Linked DNA regions of Mus musculus. The main gene of each other region encodes a partner of the protein of the gene in region 2 in a complex. Links are inferred from orthologs where the notes say so. Each region holds a gene or a part of one and is shown on either strand. Other genes may lie near its edges.

What was found.
Region 1: Casc3 (region 2) and Magoh share a complex: the UniProt entries of both Homo sapiens proteins name them as parts of the mRNA splicing-dependent exon junction complex. The link is inferred for Mus musculus from reciprocal best matches to the Homo sapiens genes CASC3 and MAGOH.
Region 3: Casc3 (region 2) and Magohb share a complex: the UniProt entries of both Homo sapiens proteins name them as parts of the mRNA splicing-dependent exon junction complex. The link is inferred for Mus musculus from reciprocal best matches to the Homo sapiens genes CASC3 and MAGOHB.
Region 4: Casc3 (region 2) and Upf3b share a complex: the UniProt entries of both Homo sapiens proteins name them as parts of the mRNA splicing-dependent exon junction complex. The link is inferred for Mus musculus from reciprocal best matches to the Homo sapiens genes CASC3 and UPF3B.

What each region holds. Positions count from the first base shown.
Region 1 is NC_000070.6:107,878,294-107,882,584, reverse strand, and holds the start of Magoh (protein mago nashi homolog), read right to left. Parts: upstream 2,831-4,291; 5' UTR 2,728-2,830; coding exon 2,640-2,727; intron 1,693-2,639; coding exon 1,634-1,692; intron 1-1,633. UniProt on the Homo sapiens protein: Required for pre-mRNA splicing as component of the spliceosome. Plays a redundant role with MAGOHB as core component of the exon junction complex (EJC) and in the nonsense-mediated decay (NMD) pathway.
Region 2 is NC_000077.6:98,808,317-98,812,616, forward strand, and holds the start of Casc3 (protein CASC3), read left to right. Parts: upstream 1-1,491; 5' UTR 1,492-1,547; coding exon 1,548-1,775; intron 1,776-2,142; coding exon 2,143-2,170; intron 2,171-2,581; coding exon 2,582-2,619; intron 2,620-4,300. UniProt on the Homo sapiens protein: Required for pre-mRNA splicing as component of the spliceosome. Core component of the splicing-dependent multiprotein exon junction complex (EJC) deposited at splice junctions on mRNAs.
Region 3 is NC_000072.6:131,290,424-131,294,709, forward strand, and holds the start of Magohb (protein mago nashi homolog 2), read right to left. Parts: upstream 2,822-4,286; 5' UTR 2,743-2,821; coding exon 2,649-2,742; intron 1,518-2,648; exon of another isoform or gene 1,318-1,517; intron 1-1,317. UniProt on the Homo sapiens protein: Required for pre-mRNA splicing as component of the spliceosome. Plays a redundant role with MAGOH in the exon junction complex and in the nonsense-mediated decay (NMD) pathway.
Region 4 is NC_000086.7:37,093,262-37,096,822, forward strand, and holds part of Upf3b (regulator of nonsense transcripts 3B), read right to left. Parts: intron 2,562-3,561; coding exon 2,261-2,561; exon of another isoform or gene 1-2,260. UniProt on the Homo sapiens protein: Involved in nonsense-mediated decay (NMD) of mRNAs containing premature stop codons by associating with the nuclear exon junction complex (EJC) and serving as link between the EJC core and NMD machinery.

The DNA.
Region 1 (4,291 bases), on a different chromosome or scaffold from region 2:
AATGGTGGGTTCTTAGATCATTGCAGCATATCAGCAGAGGAATTGTGGGCCTCCAATGTCTGTGTGTTTCTCTCCTGGTGAGAGAGGTCACTGCGTGGCCACACACCCATTCTCACTACTGCAGCGGTGTTTGGATTTTGAACCTCTGGAGTGATGAGCTAAATAATCTCTTCTTTATTTTTGAGAATTTCACTGAGCCTCACTGGCTTCAAACTTGCTATGAACTAATTATTTCTTTTAAAAAGGCTTTTTCAGGCAGAGTTTCTCTGTACAGACCTGGAACTTGCTCTGTATATCAGGCTGTCGTCAAACTCAGAGATTCGTCTCATTCTGCCTCCCGAGTGATAAAAGTCTTATACCATCACCACCACCATTACTGAGTCCAACTTGAATTTCTAATCCCCATGCCTTCAACTACAAAGTCATGGAATTGCAGGTCTGTATCATTCCTGACAATAATCCGGCAATAGCCTCTGTCAGATATATTGTTATAGTGGTAACAGACAACTGATACACCCTGCTGCTTACAGACAAGGTTTCATGCCTCGCAGCCTGGCCTTGGTGATCTTAAACTTCTGAGCTTCTTGCTTTCACCTCCCCAGTGCTGACATATAAACATGGCTACCATGATCAGTTTCTGTGATGCTAAGGATGAAGCCCAGGGCCTCATGAAGACAAGCACTCTACCAACTGCTTCTGAGGAGCACTAGGTCATGCAAACAAACAACCCAAACCAAACAAAGAGAAAAAGATATGATGCTGATTCGGCATAAAATTAACTGCTAAATTGTATGAAGACATACTGTCATATCCTTAATGATATAGTAGAAATCCCAGCAGAATGGAACACATGACCTTTACTGAGATTCAGATATGCCCAAATGCCTATCATTATCTCTTACAAGCAAGAGTAACTATCCTCAGATTTAATATCTAGGCCATGATTTTCCTGATTGAAAGTATGGCAGAATACTTTGTCACATGGGCTTTTTATAATCAGGATTAAACAACATATTGTTTGAACGAGGTTATTCACACTCTGAACCTAGATGGGTTTCCACAGTAAAAGGAGGCAAAATGATTTGCTCATCTATGAGTACGCTGCCACCCCCATCCCCCGCCTTCTTCCACTCCCCAGTGTGTGGATCAGGAGGGGGCTCTGAGGTGGGAGAGTAGTAGTAAATGTCTATGGTTTAGCTCTAAAGAGCGTAATTCGAGGTTGAGACTTTCCCCTGATCCGTTTCCTCTTCAGAAGCAAAGTCAATGCTGTCTTCATAGTCTATGTACTAGGGACTAATATATTTAATTCTATGATAACATTTGGGAGTCACAGGTAGGTTTTCTTATCCTTTGTTTTACAGATGAAAACACAGAGACCAAGTTCAGCCAGAGAACTTGTTTTGAGGTCACATGGTCAGTATGGGGCACACCGAGGGTACAAACCAAGACACACAGATTTCAAACACTTACTAGCTTTTGATTCAGCACTGGGGGGGGGGGGGGAGTGAATCAGAGAAATAATCTAGCTGCTTAGAAATAAGTGCTCGCTTCCTACACTTCATCTTTCATTACCAGAGAGAACATAAGCAATGGGAAACCAAAGGCTAAGTCGTAGTGAAGGAAAGGTCTGTACCTCTTTCCTGATCATGACGTCATTTTTGTAATTGCTGTTGTTGGCGTATCGCAATTTACCTTCGGAAGAAAAAAGAAAAAAAAAAAAGAATGCAACGTATTAGAAAACATGAACAAAGCACCATTACCCTCCAAAGAATATGAGCTTTGCCTAAATTATATCGAATGTTTCAACCCATTTCCCAGCTGTGATAGTAGTGTTTTTGGTACTTCACTTGAAACTACTGAACAACAGAAGAAGGACCTGACAGTAAACTAGAGTCCCGGGAAAAGGCTGCCATGATGTAGCAAAAGAACACGTTCTCAGCTGTAAACAGGAATTTTAATGCTATCTTAGCTGCACAGAGAAGAACATGCTGATGTTCAACTGGGTTGGGAAAGGACTTTGAAAACTAAGGAAGCTGTATGCAAGCAAGCACTACAAACACCTGTATAGCGAGGCTCTTGACTAACATCACCCCCTACTACTGTCTCTCAGTCACCCCAGTGACCACCTGGATATGTCTGGCTCTTTGAGGTCCTATGACACTTGCTACTCCTGTAGATGCTTTTCTTCCTGTACTTCAAAAATTGATCCCTTTTCAATTACGGCTTAATTCAAATTCACACTCCTCAGACTGCTCTTTAAAAGCGACCTTACTTTTTGATCACTCCACACTACAAGAGATCGCTGTGGTTTCTTCCGGCTCTGAAACACATGTTCCACGAGAGGGGAAAATTTATTTTTGTTGCTCTGTCCCCAGACTGGAAAACAAACAGCCCATTCTCAGATGGACATTAAATCTTTGTTGAATGTAAGCAACCTGGCTTTTTAAAAAGCTACGAAGGAGAATCGCCAGCGGATGAAGAGAAAGAACCAATGAAGCCGACAAAAGAATGCCTCTTTCACGACCCAACAGCACGGTGGTCGGCGTCCCTTGCTTCGCTTCGCCACATTCCGCAGCCCGCCTTCTCTCCGCCCTCCCCGGGGCCGGTCCCACTGCCCGCAGCCGGGAGGCCGCTCTTACCGTCAGGTCGGAATTCAAACTCCAGGAACTCATGACCGAACTTGCCTTTGTGGCCCACGTAGTAACGCAGGTAAAAGTCACTCTCCATGCCTCGCAAGGGACAAGGAGGACGGAACTTTAGGAACGGATGACACTACCACGGCCTGCGGTCTACGTCTTATACTGGCGTAATGGTGGCGCGCGGAAATGACGTCTGCCACCGCGACACTAAGAGTTTCTCACTCTCCGGAGGCGGGAACGAGATTACCACGCCCCCTCCCCTAGACGCTGGGTCAAGATCGCCACGCCCCCTTGGTTGTATATCGAGAGTTCTGGAAGATCTTGGGATCCGAGAACTGCATCTGGGTTTCAGCCCAACACTGAGCGCTAGAGTCCTGTCAGGCGCAACCTCAATTTAAAGAGACAAGTGAGTCGAACGAGGTTATTCACACTCTGAACCTAGATGGGTTTCCACAGTAAAAGGAGGCAAAATGATTTGCTCATCTATGAGTACGCTGCCACCCCCATCCCCCGCCTTCTTCCACTCCCCAGTGTGTAGATCAGGAGGTGGCTCTGAGGCGGGAGATTAGTAGTAAATGTCTAAAGAGCGTAATGAGAGTTTGAGACCAGTGGCTGCATACTAAGACCCTGTCCCGAAAAATAAAGTTGGCTTTACTTAGCTGTCTTTTAAGAATGACTCCTTTCCCATTCCACAATGTTGCCTGAAACTTGCCTGCATTTAGCTAACATCCCTTTCTGCTATTTCTTTATTTTACGTGTAGGCAGAGTACTGCTACCTGATCCAGACTGACCTGAAACCACAAACCCTCCTACCTCATCCTCACGAGGGTCACCACTCATGAACGAGTTGCCTTTCATTCTTCCCTTTCAAGCTAACATGTCTAGATAGGTGTTGTGGGTCGGTTAAATGAATGTTGGATCCCTACTAGGCTTTTTTGTCTTGTTTTGTTTTGTTTTTCGAGACAGGGTTTCTCTGTGTAGCCCCGGCTGTCCTGGAACTGACTCTGTAGACCAGGCTGGCCTCAAACTCAGAAATCCACCTGCCTCTGCCAAGTGCTGGGATTAAAGGTGTGCGCCACCACCGCCCGGCTCCTACTGGTCATCTTATTTAGCAGCGATTCTCAGCCCTAGCCACATGCTGACAGAATCCAGTTTCACTGAAGCCTCTAAAAAAATACCCAGGTGAGAACTGGGCATGGTGGCCAATGCCTTTGATCCCAGCACTTCAGAGGCAGAGTGGAGTAGACCTCTGTGAGTTTAAGCCTAGACTGCTCTTTGCATAGTGAGTTCCAGGCCAGTCAGGACTACCAAGTAAGATACACACACACAAACTGAAACAAAAACGAGGTGGGTCAAATGTGGAGACCACTACCCAAGAGGTTCATTTTCAAGAGCCAAAGTTGACCTCTGTGAAAGGTCAAATTTCTGGTGCGGGAATTTTAAGGTCAAGTAGGTGAAATACGGTAAATTCTAGTCATAGAAGATTGACACACGACAGGTGTGGTGGCACATGCCTTTAATCCCAGCACTCAGGAGGCAGAGGCAGGCGGATTTCTGAGTTCGAGGGCAACCTGGTCTACCGAGTGAGATCCAGGACAGCCAGAGAAACCCTGTCTCAAAAAAAAAGAATTGACACACATCGTTACCAGAGA
Region 2 (4,300 bases):
CCCCAGACCATCTGTCTATTCATGCTAAACATTGACCGTTTCTCACAACTGTTTCTCAGGAGGACTGCTATCCCAAGCACCCACACAGCCAGGAGAGCCCCAGGTTCAAGATCAGCCTAGCTTCCATGAGACCCTGTCTCAAAAAACAAAAGAAAGTAGGATCCAGAGCAGGATTACAGGTATTGTCCCCTCATAGCCTGCATCTGGGGAGGCTGAAGCTGGTGGGTCCCGAGTGATGAAAAGGCTAGCTTGAGGTCATAGATTTTCTTAAAAAAAAAAAAAAAAAAGAAAAAAGAAAAAAAACATCCCAAGCTGGATTCCGACCAAACAACTAAAGGACAAAGTGGCATGCTATCCTTGTCCTTATTTAGACACTCAACTTGGCAGTCTTGCTGCACCATTTTAGATTGTGATGGATAAGATTCTTATGCCTTTCACACTTATTAAATCATGCATCCTCCATTTTGAGTTCAGGCAGTTGTTTCTGGAGCTGAACTCCATGATACATTTGGCCACCTGTCACCAGTTGAATCAGTCCCTGCAGACAGTCATGATTCCTTGGAGTCTCATACTGTTTATAGATCTGGTAAGCAGTGGGGACCTTTAGCTATTTATGAAAACAGCTCAGAGTCCTCTTAACTCATCTATTTGATGTATATTAACAATATGCAGTAATAAATTAGCTTACAAACTATATGTTGCTGCAAGGTAGTTGTGCTGAGTTTTCTTTCACTGCTGATAAATGCATACCCAAAGCATTCTCTGTAGAGTAACAATGCACCAGGATTTGAAACTAATACCTCGAGACATTGAAGGGGCAGAGAGGGTCCAAAACTAGCCTCTTAACTAGTCAAGGGTGATCCAGCTCTGATGTTTTAAAAGCATAGTAAGACTAGTGTCCTTCCAACCTTCAGTTCTCAAAATGAGATAACTAGGTTAGGAAGACACATGGAGAAAGGAGATTTTGAATACACCCAGGAAACACCGCAATACTAAGTTCTGTCCCCACTGCAGTTTCTCCTTTCCCCTAAATTTAGACTGAGGTGAAGAGCTGGCAACTGACGCAGGACTAAAGGCTTTTTCACCTGGACTCGTGATTTTTAACCATGCGAAGGAATACAGTAAAATGTTCTGTATAGAATTCAGGGGAAAGCGAGCAATGGAAAACGAAAATCATGCAATTGCTCCAACGTCGCACTGGAGCTAGAAGAGCTCGAAACCCTCCCCAAGGAAAGTCCAAGATGGCCGAGCTAAGAACCCGAAGAGGATGCAATAGCCCCGCTCCCAGGCGCCCTCCGCCCGCCGGGGCTAGGGGTGTGGGGGTGTGGGGAAATAAAGCGCTAGGCCACGCCTCCTTACATCACCGACAGACGTCATCTCGCTCTCCAGAAAACGTGCCGCAGGGTGCAGGCCCCGCCCCGCGGAAAGAAGGGCGGCCCTCCCTGGACGTGAAGCACGCTGGGACTCCGGAGTCTCGAGCTTCCCGGCAGCCTCCGCGGCGGGCGTGGTGCGTAAGGAGCTGACCAGCGGTGGCCGTTCTCCGTAAGATGGCGGACCGGCGGCGGCAGCGCGCTTCCCAGGACACGGAGGACGAGGAATCCGGGGCTTCGGGTTCCGACAGCGGCTCTCCGGCGCGGGGCGGCGGCAGCTGCAGCGGGAGCGTCGGAGGCGGCGGCAGTGGCTCGCTGCCTTCTCAGCGCGGCGGCCGCGGCGGGGGCCTTCACCTGCGGCGGGTGGAGAGCGGGGGCGCCAAGAGCGCCGAGGAGTCTGAGTGTGTGAGTGAGCGGCGGGCGGTCCAGGGCGGCGACCCGGCAGGGGGCGGGCTGGAGATGCTGTGAGATGCCGGGCCTCCTCTTAGAGGGAAAGAAAGGTTGTCCCGCTGCGAATCTGCATCCACCCAGAGCCCCGGGGAAGGAGGACTGGGTGGTTTCTGAGCTCAGGGCGTGCAATGTTTACACGGAAACTGGGGCTGGGATGTAGAGAACCGCCATTCTCGATGTGACTTCTGAAGATTTATCTTGCCCCATATTCCTACCCAACCATCTGTGTTGATTCTTCAGTCGTCCCTCACGGTTATCTGCGGGTGGGCTCCCCGCGTCTGGAAATCACCAACTCTAACCTGTGTGATCTTCTTCCTCCCAGGAGAGTGAAGATGGCATGGAAGGAGATGGTGAGTAATTTTACTTTATCTTGAATTCTTGTGGATGTAAATTAAGGCCATGTATATCTTACACTGGGTCTTTCTCGGTTTGTTAGGGGTTTTTGGAGAGCGTTCCCCGGGAGTGGCGTTTGTGTCATGGTGATGATGAGCATGCTTGTTTGGTTTGGTTCCTTTTTGGAAGGTGACAGATTGAGTGCACTGTGGTGACTTAGAATAACACCTGACAACAGCATAGTTTTTCGTCAGTGTGGTCCCAAAGTTCTCCATCTGTCAACAGAAACTATAATTTTATCTGCCCCAGAAAGTTGCTGCGTCCACAAATTAAGTGAGGATGTTTGCCTGGCCCAAAACGAACTGTCAGAAATGTAGTAACAAACGTTTATGTTATTACATATCACATAATTTGTCTTTTCCTTTCAGCTGTTCTTTCCGATTATGAAAGTGCAGAAGATTCAGAAGTGAGTGTGATAGATTCTTTTTCCTTATGGCGTAAGTCAGAAAATGTCTCTTTAAAAAAACCTCTAGCTGTGTGGTACAAAAATTCCCTGACTTGCTTCTCTTATACATTCTTCTCGTGTGCTTTTAAAAGTCTGTTAGAAGTCTGGTGATGGTGGCACATGTCTTTAATTCCAGCCTTGCCCGGTTAATGACTGCAACTTGAAGCCACACCTCTTGAAGGGACAGGTTACACTTAGTTGATTTATTCTCAGTAAAGAAAGTGAGTTTGTGAGTCAGAGAATACGATGCTGAAATCCTTTACAAGGTGTTGGACAGGGTCCTTTATATGTCTGGATTGAGAAGACAGCCACTTGACTGGCTCCTCATGCATGCATGATTTTGAAATCTTGGAAGGACAGAATTCTGAATAGTTTGTGCAAAAACGCATCCTTCGTGGTGGTGCATGCCTTGAATCCCAGCAATTGGGAGGCAGAGGCAGGCAGATTTCCGAGTTCGAGGCCAGCCTGGTCTACAGAGTGAGTCCCAGGACAGCCAGGGCTATACAGAGAAGCCCTGTCTCGAAAAACAAAACAAAACAAACAAACAAACAAACAAACAAAAAAACTGCATCCTTTATTTTATAGCTAGAGTTTTTTGGTATCTGTGGTAATGTTTTCCAAATCAGAAAACATATTGTGAACTTTGTTTTGATTGGATGGTAGCTGTAGATACTGTCAGAATGACATTGTCATGGAGTTAGTTATTTTGTGCAGGATTGGTTGAACAGACTCGTGTTCTGTGTTTTAGAGATAGGTTGCATTCAGGAAGAAGCAGATGGTGGACCAAGGGTTTGGTTTGTGACTGTGCTTGTTGTATTATTTAGGTTGGGATTTCTTTGTTTTTTGATGCTGCAGGGTGAGCCTACAGGTCAATACATGCAAGAAAAGTGTGCTACCGCGGAGTGTTCTGCCTTAGCCCTTATCTTATAAATATTGTGGAATTTTGACTGTCTTGCCTTATTACACTTAAGGAGGTAACAGTAAGCATTATTTCAGAAGTCCTGTTTTAAGAAGTTGCATAAAAGAAGACAATACAGCCGGGCGTGGTGGTGCACGCCTTTAATCCCAGCACTTGGGAGGCAGAGGCAGGTGGATTTCTGAGTTCCAGGCTTGCCTGGTCTGCAGAGTGAGTTCCAGGATAACTAGGGCTACACAGAGAAACCGTGCCTTTAAAAAAAAAAAAGAAAGAAAAAAAAAAACAATACACTAGGCCAAGGAAACAAAAACACGTGGCACAGAAATTAATTTGACAAAATGTAAATTCAAATAAGGGCTGGGGAGATGGCCCAGTTTGGTAAAGAGGGCCTGGGTTCAATCCCCAGAGCCAGTGTGATGGTGTGTGTAATTCCATTGCTGGGGAAAGCAGAAACAGCTATGGAGCTTGCTGGGCGGGCACACAGACTGTCTAGCCTTCCACCAAGAGACTGTCTCAGAGACTACAATGAATACCTTTCCCAAGGAAGAATATCTGATTCTCTGAGTTCCATTGCATGTTTGCACATGTGAGCATTTCTGCATAGTGACACTAATTCAAAATCTAGCATTTAGGAGTGAGGGTCAGGAAGATTATTTCAAATTCATTGCCATCCTGGGAAATGAAACTTTAAAAAATATTTTATGTATATGCATGTTTTACCTGAAA
Region 3 (4,286 bases), on a different chromosome or scaffold from region 2:
TGCTAAGAACAAGCTGGTGTTATTCAAATGCAAGAGGAACAAGAACAGAATTACAAGAGGAATAAAATTTTTAAAAAGCAATTAATTTTTTATAAAAATAAATAAAACTAGGGCTGGAGAGATGGCTCAGAGGTCAAGAGAACAGTACTCTTCCAGAGATCCTGCATTCAATGCCCAGCAACCACACGGTGGCTCATGGCCATCCATAACGAGATCTAGTGCCCTCTTCTGGCCTGCAGGTATACATGCCAGTGGAATGCTGTATATATAACAAATAAATAAATCTTAAAAAAAAAAAAAGAAAGAAAGAAAGAAAGAAAGAAAGAAAAGAAAAGAAAAGAAAAGAAAAGAAAAGAAAAGAAAAGAAAAGAAAAGAGAAAACTAGAAGACCACTGCCACAACAACAAAATTTGGGAAACAAGGGTGAAGTTATTAAGTTCTAAATAACAGCAGGAACACTGACTGCTATGCTGACTTCTTCCTAAATGCTTGAAACTTTTGGAATCCATGATCCTCTCCTTACCTATCAAAGAACCTCGTGCAAGTCATGCATAAAGCACTTAAGTAAAACCCATACTGTCCTATAGTAGGTTAAATGTTTGTCTCCCAAGTACCTTCAGCTTTGACATTTATATACTGCCCACTACATAATGAACATTCAAAAATAAAAATTCTTGGTGCAGGTAGGCAGAGCTGTCCCAAGACAGAATTGCCTTACACTACACAGGGAGAGGCTCCAACAAACCCCTGATCATTCTGCTCTCCTCTGGTTTTTCTCTCACCCAGAAACCAAGAAGGTTTCTCAGTTTTATCTCAATCAAGTGTCTCATCTTCTAGGGGCAGATTCTTTTTTGCATGGGGAACTTTGTGAGGGGACAGGGTTTGACTGTGTAGCTCTGGCTTTTCTGAAACTCCATCTGCCCCCAGAGTACTAGGATTAAAGACTCAGGGAAGCTGGGCGTGGTAGCACACGCCTTTAATCCCAGCACTCGGGAGGCCGAGGCAGGCAGATTTCTGAGTTCGAGGCCAGCCTGGTCTACAGAGTGAGTTCCAGGACAGCCAGGGCTGCAGAGAAACCCTGTCTCAACCCCCCACCCCCACCCCAATAAAAAGACTCAGGGAAAACTTTTTTTGTTTTGTTTTTCAAGGTCTGATCATTTACTTCTTTGTCTTAAACACTTACTGTTTACTGGACTCAGACTTAAAAGTAGAAGCTCTCATTGAGGACAGTCTATGTCTCTTGGAAATCTGTTCCTGGTATTTTTTTTTTTTAAGCTTCATTCTCTAGGCCAAAAGTTAAGCTTATTCTGTAGCTACCTTGTTTTTCTTAGTGTGTTGCTTCTTGAGAACAATACATTGGAGATGGTGTTGTTGAAGGACAAGTGACGTAAGTAGATGCTGAACCTTGGGTGCTTTCCTCCTGGATTTCTTACAGCCACTGTTGCAGGGCTTTTCAATAGTTCATTAGCAGACATCGTCTTCTTTAGAGTTACTAAAATGCTTTAAGATTCTGCTAGCTTGTTGGGACCAAAAACAGAGGGACAGGGGCTCAGTCCAGCAGTATCAATATTTTTTTACAATAACCAATTTGAAAGCACTCAGATTGGCATTCATAATATATCAAGAACAGACCTGCAATTCCTCTCTCCAGCTCTCCTTGGTCTATAGAAGTATGCCCCTTACTCAACAGCAGGTACACTCTGCTCTGGGTCAAGAAGCCTTGTTTTGTGGGAAAAGCTTGTTTGTCATTCCCCCAGTCCTTGGTTGTGACTGGGACCACACAACACTTCCCCTCTTCACCCAGAGCATCAGCGGCTACCCCTGTGGCCATTTGCTTCTTGCTGAAAGTATGAAGTTTGTATTGATTGTCCCCTTGAAAGAGTTCTGACAGCTGGTGGCTAGGAAGGAGATTTTCAGACTCATTTAGACAAGGCTGGCCGACTGCCTAGGAGGTGGCACAAAAAGAGCTTCTAGGAGCATTTCCACTGACTCCCTTACCTTTGGCCATCATCCACTAGTGAAGAACTGTATTTCAAACCTGACACATACCACATTCCTGTGTTCAGACACGGGGCTCCTCCCCTATAAAGCAGCTTTAACACATACCATGAATGAACGAGTAGGCCAAAGAGGTCACCTAAAGATTCCATGCATCCTCTGGAGTATCACTTGATAATTCTGTTAACACTCCCGGAGCACAGGTTCTCTGCTCTAAGTTTCCGATTCCTATATGTTCAACTTTTCAGGAGTGGCAGAATTCGCTTTTCTGAATTACTTTACAGCATTTTTTTCCCTCTCACAAACATAACCCATGTCTGCTCTCACAAATACAGCACAAGCCTGCTACAAAAGCAAAGTCTTCCAATGTTGGAATGAAACCCTTCAAGCCCTTCTGGGAGTCTGGGGCATGGTGACACGCCTGTCATCCCAGCATCCCAGAGGCTGAAGCAGGAGGATCGTGAGTTCGAGGGCGGCTTGGACTACACAACAAGGCCCTTTCTCAAAACTAAACAAGTAAATTGAAATAAAGAAGAAAGGAAACACACACACACACACACACACACACACACACACACACACACACACACACACGCTGAAACCCGCTCCCTGGGCGGCTCGCCCTCCCTCGCAGCCCCTCCGCCGCTCACCGTCCGGCCGAAACTCGAACTCCAAAAACTCGTGCCCAAACTTGCCCTTATGCCCGACGTAGTAGCGAAGGTAGAAATCACTACCCATAGACATTTTTACCCTCGGTAAAGCCCGCTATACCGCGGGGCCAACGTGCCGCCGGCGCGAGGTAGTGACGTCACGGGCGCAGGCAAAGCGCGTCACCAAGGGCGCGTTTACTCCGGTAGGGAACGAAATCCCGGAAAACTGAAGAGGAAGCAAGAGACCCCCAAGAGAACTGAAGGTTCGCATTGGAGCCACCACGATCTCGAGCGCTTTTTTTTTTTTTTTTTTCTTTTTTTGGAAAAGATTTTCATGTCTTCGATTTTTACGTTTTAACTCTGTGACGATGTTATACACGTACATGATGAATTTTAGTCGCTCCCACCATGTTATCTTCTCTCATCCCTTCTCCGCTGAACCAGTCTTACCAATAAGCCCTCCTGTACGTTTACGCCTTGTTTTTGTCTGGGTTGAGGGGAGGCTCACCGAGTTTAATAAGGGTGGCTTGCATGAGCGCGTTGGTGGATACAAAGTCCCGGATTTCATTTTGGCATTCTATATTTTGGTTGAGCCACACTCCACCTCTTCCTCATCTACTGCCCCCAACCCTTGGGCCCAAATTATTCCCGCTGCACTTTCTTGTTAAATGTATCCTGTTACACTTCCCACTCTATTTCTTTAACCTACACTCAGTATCCTCTCTGGTTTAATAACCTACACTCACTAGCACATAAATACACTCATACAAAAGCTAAAATTCTATACAAGATTTGTCTTAATACTTCATCATTACCTCACTATAATAATTGCCAGATTTGTCCGTTTTCCTGTATATTTTATCTTAGCAAAGAAATAGCTAGGGATTTTGTTTCTTTGTTTTCTTCTCGTTTGTTTAAATGGGCTTGGAAGGAACAGATGTAAAACCACTTTTACTTTCGAGTTGCCCTATGCTATAGGTGTGTCTTTTTCTGAGTTTTGAACTAAGGTTTACAAGCTGTACTTATTGTGGGTATCTCTGATCTCGAAGCACATTGTAAAGTGGGGTGTGACTCTACTTCCTGAAACTGGTGAACTGAGAAAAGATACATTCCGGTGGCAACCAGAACACAATCTACCAGAGTCCCTTTTGGTAATACTTCAAAATTTCCAGTAGCTAACAGCCCAGACGGAGACACAGAGTAAAATGAATCTGTCTGGTGGGAGTTTGATGTTTAAATAGCACATGAAACTGAAAAGTCCAGATAGTCATCATAGAAGAGTTTTTCATAGTATACTACAACTCATGAGTCACTAAGGGTTAATGGTTAGTACCCTATATATTTGCAGGGCTAGGTCACAGTTCTCAACAGTTTGAGTTGGAAAAATACGGAACATCCAAGTGTAGTCTTGAAGAGCACAAAATGACAGTGAACTGCACCCAGTTCCCTCGTTCCAATTCCTGATCACCTTTCTTTTAGCACCACTGAGTAATCCTATCGGTGACTGATGGCCTTCTGTCACAATCCTAAGAAAAAGAGTCCAGTCTCAGTACTGGTCCCACGTAACCTTGGACAAGTCATTATCTCTCAACCTGTTTGATCATTAACTAACTAGATACACAGTGATCAACTGCCAAA
Region 4 (3,561 bases), on a different chromosome or scaffold from region 2:
GCCTAATTTTTTTAAAGATTTATTTATCATTATATGTAAGTACACTGTAGCTGTCTTCAGACACACCAGAAGAAGGCGTCAGATCTCATTTCAGATGGTTGTGAGCCACCATGTGGTTGCTGGGATTTGAACTCAGGACCTTCGGAAGAGCAGTCATTGCTCTTTACCGCTGAGCCATCTCTCCAGCCCCTCTAAATTTTAAAATAATATTTTATTAATTCTTTGAGAATTTTGTACATGCATATAATGTATTCGCCTAATTTTAAAACTACCTCAAGATAACCTAATTTATAGGTATTAGGTAATAAGAATTAATTACCCCTAATTTTTTTAAACTTAGAAACTACAAGAACCAAGGGCCAAGCTGTAGCTCAGTAACAGAGTGTTTAATACATTCAAAGCCAGGGGTTAGACAACTGGCCTGGGGGGGTGTAAGTCACTGGAGAAACTACAACTACATGCCTGTGATTCTCTACCAGTAAATCGCCTTTTGTGGTGGGAGAGGGAGAACAGGGCCTAAAGTAGCCTAGGCTGACCTCCAACTTGAAATCCTCCTTCAGACATGGGCCACCATGTCCCATGCAATAAATTCATTATAAAAATCTAAAACTACACAAAAATATGTTTAAGTTTGGCTTGATTTAGCTCAGTGGTAGAATTCTTGCCTAACTAGATTTGGGTTTGATCCCTAGCAAAAAAGAAAAGATCTGCTTGCCTTACAGAAACCCACCTGCTTCTGCCCCTGCGTTCTGGGATTACAGGTATACACCATGCCTAGCCTTAAAAAAAAAAAAGATTTATTTTTCCTTATTATTTTTTTAACTGTGTGGGGAAGTAGTATGCATGTGTATCTATAAGTACATGCAGTTGCCCACAGTGACTGGAGTTATATATGTCTGTGAGCTGCCTGACATGGGTACTAGCAATTGAAAAAATAAAAAATATTCACCCCTTAACTGCTAAGCCATCTCTCCAGCCCCAAGTGTTGTTATTGATACAGGGTCTCTTTACATAGCCCCGACTGTCCTTGGATTCAAGTAAATAGACCAGGCTGTCCTCCAGAGATCCTCCTCCATCTGCCTCCCAAGTGCTAGGATAAAAGCTGTGTCCTGCCATGCAAGCTAGGCCAGCACTTTTAACTACTGAGAAACACACTCAACCCCAAGCTCATTTTTATATATTACCCATGTCTATTTCCTTAAAGAATTTAGCTGTTGTGACAGAGACTATATGGCTCAGATAGCCTAAAATATTAGCAGCTGTTTTTCCAAGATTTGACTATTATTTTCATTTAAAAATTGTTTAATTATAAATTTTTAATGCTGTGTTTTGAACCTATGGTTCCATTTATGCTGTTGTCTATGACAGTACTAGTGCTTAAGTAGTAATTATAAAAGAAACAGAATATATATGTTCAATGAGATAAAGAAGTTATAATTTGCCAATGTACAGTCTGAGAAGATTCATAGGACAAACTGGTTTCTACAACAAACAATTATGTATCAGGGAAAAAAAAGATTGTTTAGATCAAAATAGAATTCAACCACACACTATGAACATTGTTCATGGCCCTTATTTAAAAAGACATTAATGATGCAACTGGGAAACTCTCACTAGGAATAATTAGGATAGTAAGAAATTACCTTTGAAGCTGGGCAGGGTGGGGCATGCTGCTAATCTCAGCATTCAGGAGGCAGAGGCAGGCGGAACTCTGTGAGTTCAAGGTCAACCTGGTCTACAAAATGAGTTCCAGGACAGCCAGGGCTACAAAGAGAAACCCTGTCTTGAAAAAAAAAAACAAAAACAAAAAAAGAGAGAGAGAAAGAAAGAGAACAGAAAAAGAAAAACAAAAAAGAAAAGAAACAAAGAAAGAAATTACCATTGGGCTGATGAGATGGTTCATTGGGTAAGAGGACTTGCTGCCAAGCTTGACAACCTGGGTTCAATCTCTAGAACCCACCTGGTGGAAGGAGAAAATGGCTCCCACAAACTGTCCTCTCACCACTATTCATGCACTGGACATGTATGCACGTGTGCACACTCATGTGCACACATGCAAAAAATAAATACATAAATTAGAAAAAAAGAAAATGAAAATTCCACAATAGGGACTGGGGATGAAGTTCACTGGCAGAAAGCTTGCAATGATTCAATACCTAGTGGGGGTGGGGATAGGGCACATTCCTTTAAATTTATCCTTCTAAGAATAGGGGGGGAATCCTCATAAAAACAACCAAGTTTAATAAAAAAACAGCAGCACCTTGTTCCTTATGCGGTCTCTCTTAACCACTTCCTCTTTTTTTTCAATTTTTTCTAATGAGCATATTGATTCTGTATTCTCACTCTTCTTTCCTTTATCTCGAAGTGCCTCTTTCTCTCTCTTCATTTCTTCTTCCTTTCGCTTAAAAGCCTTCTCTTTCTCATAGCGTTCTTTCTGCTGCTGCCGCCGGCGCTCTTCTTCTTGCCGCTTCAGCCTCTCTCTTTCTCGGATCATGCGCTCCTGATCTCTCTCATAGTCCCGGTCCCTGTCTCTGTAATCTCTGACACCCTCGTCATCGAGCCTGTGTGAAAAATAAACAAGAGGGCTGGAGACACCTTTCAGTTGATAGAGTGCTTTGCCTAATGATGTGAGAAGTGCCCAGGGCTCCGAGAGCCTGTCTGAAAAACAAGACAAGACAAAATAGAACGGAACAGAAAACAACGGTGAGGCCAAACCTTCACACATCCTATGATTGCAAATACGGAAACACTGTGGTTCTAAGTTGGCCATCTTATTGAGGGTGCACTTTTACAGCTGAGGAAAAAGTAGGAGTTGTTTTAGAAAATAAGAAAAACCAGAAGTCAGGGCTGGAGGGCTGTCTCATAAGTCAAGAGTCTATTTCTTTTGCAGAAAACCCAAATTTGGTTCCCAGAGCCCATATCAGGTGGCTCACTGCCGCCTGTAACTCCAGCTACAGGAGGATCTGACACCGTTGGCCTCCTTGGGCACATGCACAAATAGGCACACCCAAGACAGACAGACAGATACACACACACACACACACAAAATAATAGAAATAAATAATATTTCTGAAAATAATAAAAATAAATCTTTAAAAGGAAAAAAAAGACAGCGGTCATTCATCTAGCTGGAGACACCAGAATATTTGAAACATATGACCCTCCTCCCTCTACTCCATATAAAGCAGCTCCTTTTTTTTTTTAAATAAGAGGTTTTTTTTTAAAAGATTTACTTATTTTACTTATTTTATATATATGAGTACACTATAGCTGTCTTCAGACACACCAGAAGAAGGTATTGGATCCCAATACGGATGGTTGTGAGCCACCATGTGGTTGCTGGGATTTGAACACAGGACCTCAGTAAGAGCAGTCAGTGCTCTTAACCACTGAGCCATCTTTCCAGCCCAGTAGTTCATTTTTTTGAGAAGGTCTTGCTATGTAGTCTAGGCTGATCTTGAAGCTACCCATCCTCCTATCTCAGCCTCCTGAGTGTTACTGCAGGTTGTGTGCGCCATGACAAATAATTTAATTCCATACAAGTCCAGGACACGGCGGCAT